Saccharomyces cerevisiae S288C: one gene and its partner. Each later gene encodes a partner of the first gene's protein in a complex. Each region holds a gene or a part of one and is shown on either strand. Other genes may lie near its edges. A codon is read from its position in the direction of its gene.

Region 1 (3,937 bases):
TATGTATTATCAATTCTGTAGAATTTAATAATTTCAACATTTCATGAACGGCCAGAGGTAAATGGGTAAGGCTTCCTTTCAAAGAATCTATAGATATTAAGGTTTGCATGAAGTAAATAGCTGATAACCTTAGTACAATTAGAACAAGTTGAGACAAATAGGAAGCACCCCAGCATAAGAGCAATATCCTCAGAAAAAAAAAAAATGACTAAGCTAAATAATTAATTTTTTTAAAAAAAACTTATAGTACAATACACGCTAATGTTTGGCAACTGGGGTTTCACCAGTCATTCTGGCGACAAATTCCTTCGCCATATCACCAAAACCAACCATGAAGACAGTTTGCCAGATACCTAAACCAATTCTTGGGGTGACACCACGGTAAAGACCCTTTAGACCATTTGATTGATAGATGTATTTAAATGTCTTACCAACAGTCAAATTTTTTGGTCTGTTTGGATCTTCCTTCTTAGATTGCATTTCAACTCTAATGACTTCGATTGGTTGATTCCAAGCACTTAAACCACCACCTAAAGCACTGGCACCAATTTTCTCGAACGGATTCAACTTGTCGTCTTTATTGGTTTTCCCGGTGATCTTTCTGATACCATCTTCCACTAGTCTGGACAAACCAAAACGAGAACCCCAGTTGGTCATTTGTCTAATAGCAACAGCATTAACACCCTTATTAATACCTCTAATACCTTCCTTTTTATAAATATTCTTGAACACACTCCAAGAAGATTGTGGGACACCACCTGCGGAGGCAGATTTATGTCTTGTAATTTCCACCGTTTTCATACAGGTACAGAACCCCATGGTTAAGTAGGCTTGAGTGACACCACCCGTGACACCACCTAATATACCTGAGGCAAAGTTGTTCAACCCCAAACTTTTGAAACGATACTCAGCCTCAGCTGACACGAACAGCAACACAGCACCTTTAGTGGAGGCTTCGATCCATGCCCATGGAATCAAACCTTGGTAGTAACCCAAGATACCACCTCTTGACCAGACATGCTTAACAGATTCTAAAAATGTGAAGTTTCTGTTTGCAGCCATTGTGGTCTTAACAACCTCCAAAGGTTGCCCTAATGTAGTCACCTCTGACAAGTTTAAACAGGCACCCAATAGGATATTAGAAAACGAGACTGGCTTTTTTTCTATTACGTTTGCTGCAGCAGTATTAGTGGTAGATGGCATAGCTATAATGACGTCGGGCTTTTCCTAGCTTTATTTGTACAAAAGACTTATATAAAAAGATTGTATCAGCGCTGTTTATATCTCAATGAAAGTAGATATATATACCGTAAGCGAGTTGAAACAATGACTTGAGGTGGGCAGCTTCGGACTTTTTGCAAAATTCAAATCCGAATATCTAGAAGATTGTATTGACAGCGTTTTTTAAATGTCCGTAGATTTCTCGAGATATATAAATGTTACAGAAGGTAAGATCCATGCAAGAGGCTAATGCGTTTTTCTTTTTTTTTTTTAGAGTGCGATATCTTGTCATAAGTTTACACAATGGGACAAAGGAAGCTAAAACATGAGTGCAAAAGAAGGGCCCATGTTTGTCGCCCTATGCATTTAGCCAATCATCTTTTTTTTTTGCGTGATCTTTATCAATCGTGATTCTCTGCCTTCTGAGTGAAAAAAGTCATGATCTTCGCGTTATTGCAGCGGAATTTGCCGACAGGACCTAGGTCTTGAGAAAGAAAAGTGATAGGGTAAGTAATGGAAGAAGAGGGCACAGGTCCAATCACGCAGCTTCATTACAGGGCTATAATTGCAAGAATAATAACTTTCAACCATATAGAAATCCAATACAGTATATTGGTATTGTTTAGAAAGGTATTAAGAAGGCAGTAGCATACAGAGTATATATCTATAGGCAGAGCATCAGATCATAAAGATAGTGGTGAAATGGCTAGAACCAAAAGTAGGAAGCGTTCCGGAAATAACCAAAATAAGAATGCGTCTGTGGTAAATAATAAGGCTGAGATCGCCGCCATGATTGATGCAAGAAGGCTTGAGCAAAAGAAAAAGGGTGGGGTGACTAACAGCAAAGGAAAGACGAATAAGGTAGTGGATGCGAAGTTAGAAAAAGAGTTCAAAGACGTTTTACAACGATTTCAAGTGCAAGAGAATGATACGCCGAAGGAAATCACGAAAGATGAAAAGAACAATCATGTCGTTATTGTTGAGAAAAACCCAGTTATGAACAGAAAGCATACAGCAGAAGATGAATTGGAGGATACACCCTCGGATGGTATTGAGGAGCATCTATCGGCAAGAAAACGTAGGAAGACTGAAAAACCTTCACTTTCGCAGTTAAAAAGCCAGGTACCGTATCCTCAAATTATAGAATGGTACGATTGTGACGCAAGATATCCAGGCTTACTAGCGTCAATTAAGTGCACCAAAAATGTCATTCCTGTTCCAAGCCACTGGCAGTCCAAGAAGGAATATCTATCTGGCCGTTCTCTGTTAGGTAAAAGACCTTTTGAACTTCCTGACATTATCAAGAAGACAAATATAGAACAAATGAGATCGACGCTTCCGCAAAGCGGACTGGATGGTCAAGATGAAAAGTCACTAAAGGAGGCCTCAAGAGCAAGAGTGCAGCCGAAAATGGGCGCCTTGGATTTGGATTACAAGAAGTTACACGATGTGTTTTTCAAGATAGGAGCCAACTGGAAACCTGACCATTTGTTATGCTTCGGTGACGTCTATTATGAAAATAGGAATCTTTTCGAGGAAACGAACTGGAAAAGAATGGTTGATCATAAGAGACCGGGGAGAATTAGCCAAGAGCTTCGTGCCATAATGAATTTACCCGAAGGTCAACTACCACCATGGTGTATGAAGATGAAAGACATTGGATTACCTACGGGATATCCTGATCTGAAAATTGCCGGCTTGAATTGGGATATAACGAATTTAAAAGGCGACGTTTACGGAAAAATAATCCCTAATCACCATTCAAGGTCCAAGAAACAGGGTAGAAACTATTTTGGCGCATTGATCTCATTTGAAACCCCTGAATTTGAAAATTCAAAAGAGGATACACAGGCGAATGCGGAAAATGGGCGCCAAGATGACAAAATCGATGATGAAGTAGAGCATAAGTTAGATCACTTCCAGGAAGACATATCCGAAGTGACAAGCGCAGAAGAAAAACTTGAGAGAAACGAAGAGGAATCGGAGAAGCAACTATATACTGTATTGAAATAACTACTAAATATCGCATAGGTACTTCAGTTTTACAAAATTTTACATGTGGTACTATTTCTCACGTACGAGTTTTTTTCTTTTTTAAATGCGGCCCTAAACCATGCTGAAATTTTTCATGAGCTCATCGCAAAATTTATCTCATTATCAGGTCATATAGTCACTCTCAGGAGAATCCTGCTCGATCAAAGTGAGGCAAGTAAATGCGCATATAGAAGAGAGCAAAACTGTCCTATTTACAAGCTTTTCAAAACAATGGGCTCAAAAGTAGCAGGTAAAAAGAAAACCCAGAATGATAATAAACTAGATAACGAAAATGGTTCACAGCAGCGCGAAAATATCAATACCAAGACGCTTTTGAAAGGCAACCTTAAGATATCAAATTACAAATATCTTGAGGTGATTCAACTAGAACATGCTGTGACAAAATTGGTGGAGTCTTACAATAAAATAATTGAACTTTCACCAAATTTGGTAGCTTACAATGAAGCCGTTAACAATCAAGATAGAGTGCCTGTTCAGATACTTCCTTCTCTATCACGTTATCAATTAAAACTGGCAGCTGAATTAAAAACCTTACATGATCTTAAAAAAGACGCAATTTTGACAGAAATTACTGATTATGAAAATGAATTTGATACTGAACAAAAGCAACCTATATTGCAAGAAATCAGTAAAGCTGATATGGAAAAGTTAGAGAAGCTAG
Region 2 (3,150 bases), on another chromosome or scaffold:
ATGTTGAAGAATTAGGTTATTTTGCTAAAAACAACCAAGGTGAAGTTTGGATCACAGGTGCCAATGTCACGCCTGAATATTATAAGAATGAGGAAGAAACTTCTCAAGCTTTAACAAGCGATGGTTGGTTCAAGACCGGTGACATCGGTGAATGGGAAGCAAATGGCCATTTGAAAATAATTGACAGGAAGAAAAACTTGGTCAAAACAATGAACGGTGAATATATCGCACTCGAGAAATTAGAGTCCGTTTACAGATCTAACGAATATGTTGCTAACATTTGTGTTTATGCCGACCAATCTAAGACTAAGCCAGTTGGTATTATTGTACCAAATCATGCTCCATTAACGAAGCTTGCTAAAAAGTTGGGAATTATGGAACAAAAAGACAGTTCAATTAATATCGAAAATTATTTGGAGGATGCAAAATTGATTAAAGCTGTTTATTCTGATCTTTTGAAGACAGGTAAAGACCAAGGTTTGGTTGGCATTGAATTACTAGCAGGCATAGTGTTCTTTGACGGCGAATGGACTCCACAAAACGGTTTTGTTACGTCCGCTCAGAAATTGAAAAGAAAAGACATTTTGAATGCTGTCAAAGATAAAGTTGACGCCGTTTATAGTTCGTCTTAATGGATCAACATTTCCATGATAGGAAAGCCTCATCATACTAAAGCACTTTTTCAGTTTTTTGCTTTAGAACTGCTACCAATTATAAAATAGAATGCACAGGTTATCTTGTTTGGTTTGTTATTATCCTTTTTTCTTCTTTACCAGTCATATCACCTCATTCACGTATGTTCGTAATTTATAATGTTAAAAATGGCATATATAGATATATTTATGAACATCCTAAAAAATAACTAAATTTTTCTACATTTCAAAAAAGGTAACGTTGACTGCCGCATGGCAGTCTAATTAGGAGCTTAGTGATACATATATATATATATATAAATTTCGGCCAAGACACCTCACATAAGAAGCATTACCAGAGGTGTCCTGATCTGAGATGGACCCTGTCTCATTTGTTGAGTTGACAAAATATCAGGGAAATTGATTACCCTGGTGTGCACTGACTCCTTAGTACTCATTTTCACAGCTTCGTACACATCATGGAAGACAAACCATAGCAACCAGCCGCTCTCATTCAATCTCGCATAGACTGGAAGAAGAAGCTCCAGAAGCATATCCATTCCTTGCAAAACGTTCGTTTCTGCGTGCCTGTCTTCTCCACTTTTGTCTCGGTCAGCCAACAGGCACGTGGTGGGTGTGCCTGGAGATTAGAAATTGTAGTTCCTCAGATTATGTAAATTTTCTCAACAAATTTACTAGGACAAAGAAATGACGTAGTAAGAGTACTAAGTATCAAGATTGTTGAGGTGTTCCGTTGTTAGTACTTTTTTACGAGCACGCGAAGTTGACACATTGTGTCTGGCAGATGGGAACTAATTTACTAATCAATTTGCAGCAGTACGCTATCATGTGATGAAATATATTCCCGTTGGATTAACCATAGTCTAATAGACAGTAATATCGAGGACTCAGGGACTACGCCATTTATTTACTTGGAATAATTTGCCTGCCCATTCAATAAAATTATGAAAATTGTGACGTTCATACACATGCTGATGAAATGAGTATTTCTTTTAGTTGAAAATCCAACAAATTCCTCATTAACGCCGTTTTCCCACTTCTATTTACTGGCTTTTCTTTCAAAACGAGGGGATTTATTCTTGGCGTTGTTGAAATTTTCACATTTCCAGAAGATTTATTCGGCGTTTATTTTTCTAATCCAGATTTAACAAAGAGAACAAAATCCCACTCGTTACCCTGCCTTGAATTGTCAGATGGCCTTATTTATTTATTTGTTACCCGCAGATGTGGATATAAGACGGAAATGGATAGTAAAGCTAAAACGACTCTTCAAGCAGAAATTACCGAGATGAGGTAAAAATGAATGGGCAAAATAGCTAGCCAAGAACAGCGCAATCATTCTAAGATTAACATTGATGAACTACAGCGCAGACTCTGGTAATACAGTTTATGTGGGGAATATAGATCCAAGGATAACGAAAGAACAACTTTATGAACTCTTCATTCAGATCAACCCTGTTTTAAGGATTAAGTATCCGAAAGATAAAGTTCTACAAGCTTACCAAGGCTACGCATTCATCGAATTTTATAATCAAGGAGATGCTCAATATGCAATAAAAATAATGAATAATACCGTTAGATTATACGACCGACTGATAAAGGTTCGTCAAGTAACCAATTCTACAGGAACAACTAATTTACCTTCAAATATTTCTAAGGACATGATTCTACCTATTGCTAAGTTGTTCATAAAAAACCTTGCAGATTCGATAGATAGCGACCAATTAGTGAAAATTTTCAATAAATTTGGTAAGCTCATAAGGGAACCCGAAATTTTCTACCTATCAAACGGAAAATTAAAGTGTGCTTATGTTTATTTTGAGGACTTTGAAAAAGCAGATTTGGCAATAAAATCTTTGAACAATCAGTTAGTCGCCAACAACAGAATTACTGTTGATTATGCCTTCAAAGAAAATGGAAAAGGTAACGCAAAATACGGTGATGACGTTGACAGGCTGTTGAATAAAGAAGCATTAAAGCACAACATGTTGAAATAAGATCCCGCTCTCACCTAGTACATACCTTACCCGTTAGAAAATGCGATAACGGACACAATCTTGGCAGAAACATTATCAATACTATGATATATATATATGCGTTTCCGACTATACTAATTTTTACACTTTTTGAAAATTTTCACTTCTCCTCATAATCAAACGAGGCAGATTTCCCTGGACTGTATGTAAGAAGCGTACACCGAGTTCCAAAGGTCACAAGCTTGGTGCTCTAGCTTTGAATCCTCCGCGTCTTCTTCTTTAACGATACATTCAAACTCCTTCATTGATGGATAATTCCAGGGCTTGGCCAATGGATAATCCGAAAAATGTATGTACTTAGAATATGCGACACTGTCGTTTAATCCTACCGGAATATCGTTGCCATCATTATCCAATGTCTTATAACCCAAAACGTCATTATAGATTATAGAATAGTGCCGTGGGTTTCTCAATGAACCCGTCAGTAAGCCGTACCTTGCAAATGGCAAAACCAATACTTC

What was found.
Region 2: the proteins of CUS1 (region 1) and HSH49 are in contact, whole or in part, in a crystal structure (PDB 5LSL), measured with the Saccharomyces cerevisiae proteins. Residues at the interface, in NP_013967.1 of Saccharomyces cerevisiae: Arg290 (codon at 2,791), Pro291 (codon at 2,794), Gly292 (codon at 2,797), Arg293 (codon at 2,800), Ile294 (codon at 2,803), Ser295 (codon at 2,806), Glu297 (codon at 2,812), Leu298 (codon at 2,815), Ile301 (codon at 2,824), Met302 (codon at 2,827), Pro311 (codon at 2,854), Trp312 (codon at 2,857), Lys315 (codon at 2,866), Met316 (codon at 2,869), Ile319 (codon at 2,878), Gly320 (codon at 2,881), Leu321 (codon at 2,884), Pro322 (codon at 2,887), Thr323 (codon at 2,890), Gly324 (codon at 2,893), Tyr325 (codon at 2,896), Tyr345 (codon at 2,956); in NP_014964.1 of Saccharomyces cerevisiae: Ile20 (codon at 2,066), Gln24 (codon at 2,078), Glu27 (codon at 2,087), Leu28 (codon at 2,090), Ile30 (codon at 2,096), Gln31 (codon at 2,099), Ile32 (codon at 2,102), Asn33 (codon at 2,105), Pro34 (codon at 2,108), Gly61 (codon at 2,189), Asp62 (codon at 2,192), Tyr65 (codon at 2,201), Lys68 (codon at 2,210), Ile69 (codon at 2,213), Met70 (codon at 2,216), Thr73 (codon at 2,225), Val74 (codon at 2,228), Arg75 (codon at 2,231), Leu76 (codon at 2,234), Tyr77 (codon at 2,237).

What each region holds. Positions count from the first base shown.
Region 1 is NC_001145.3:749,227-753,163, reverse strand, and holds CUS1 (U2 snRNP complex subunit CUS1), read left to right. Parts: upstream 1-1,923; coding exon 1,924-3,234; downstream 3,235-3,937. Other genes in the region: YHM2 (Yhm2p), read right to left, coding at 259-1,203; RNT1 (ribonuclease III), read left to right, coding at 3,487-3,937. UniProt on the Saccharomyces cerevisiae protein: Essential splicing protein required for U2 snRNP binding to pre-mRNA during spliceosome assembly.
Region 2 is NC_001147.6:910,814-913,963, forward strand, and holds HSH49 (U2 snRNP complex subunit HSH49), read left to right. Parts: upstream 1-2,008; coding exon 2,009-2,650; downstream 2,651-3,150. Other genes in the region: long-chain fatty acid-CoA ligase FAA1, read left to right, coding at 1-632; GNT1 (glucose N-acetyltransferase), read right to left, coding at 2,806-3,150. UniProt on the Saccharomyces cerevisiae protein: Possible SF3b-like factor.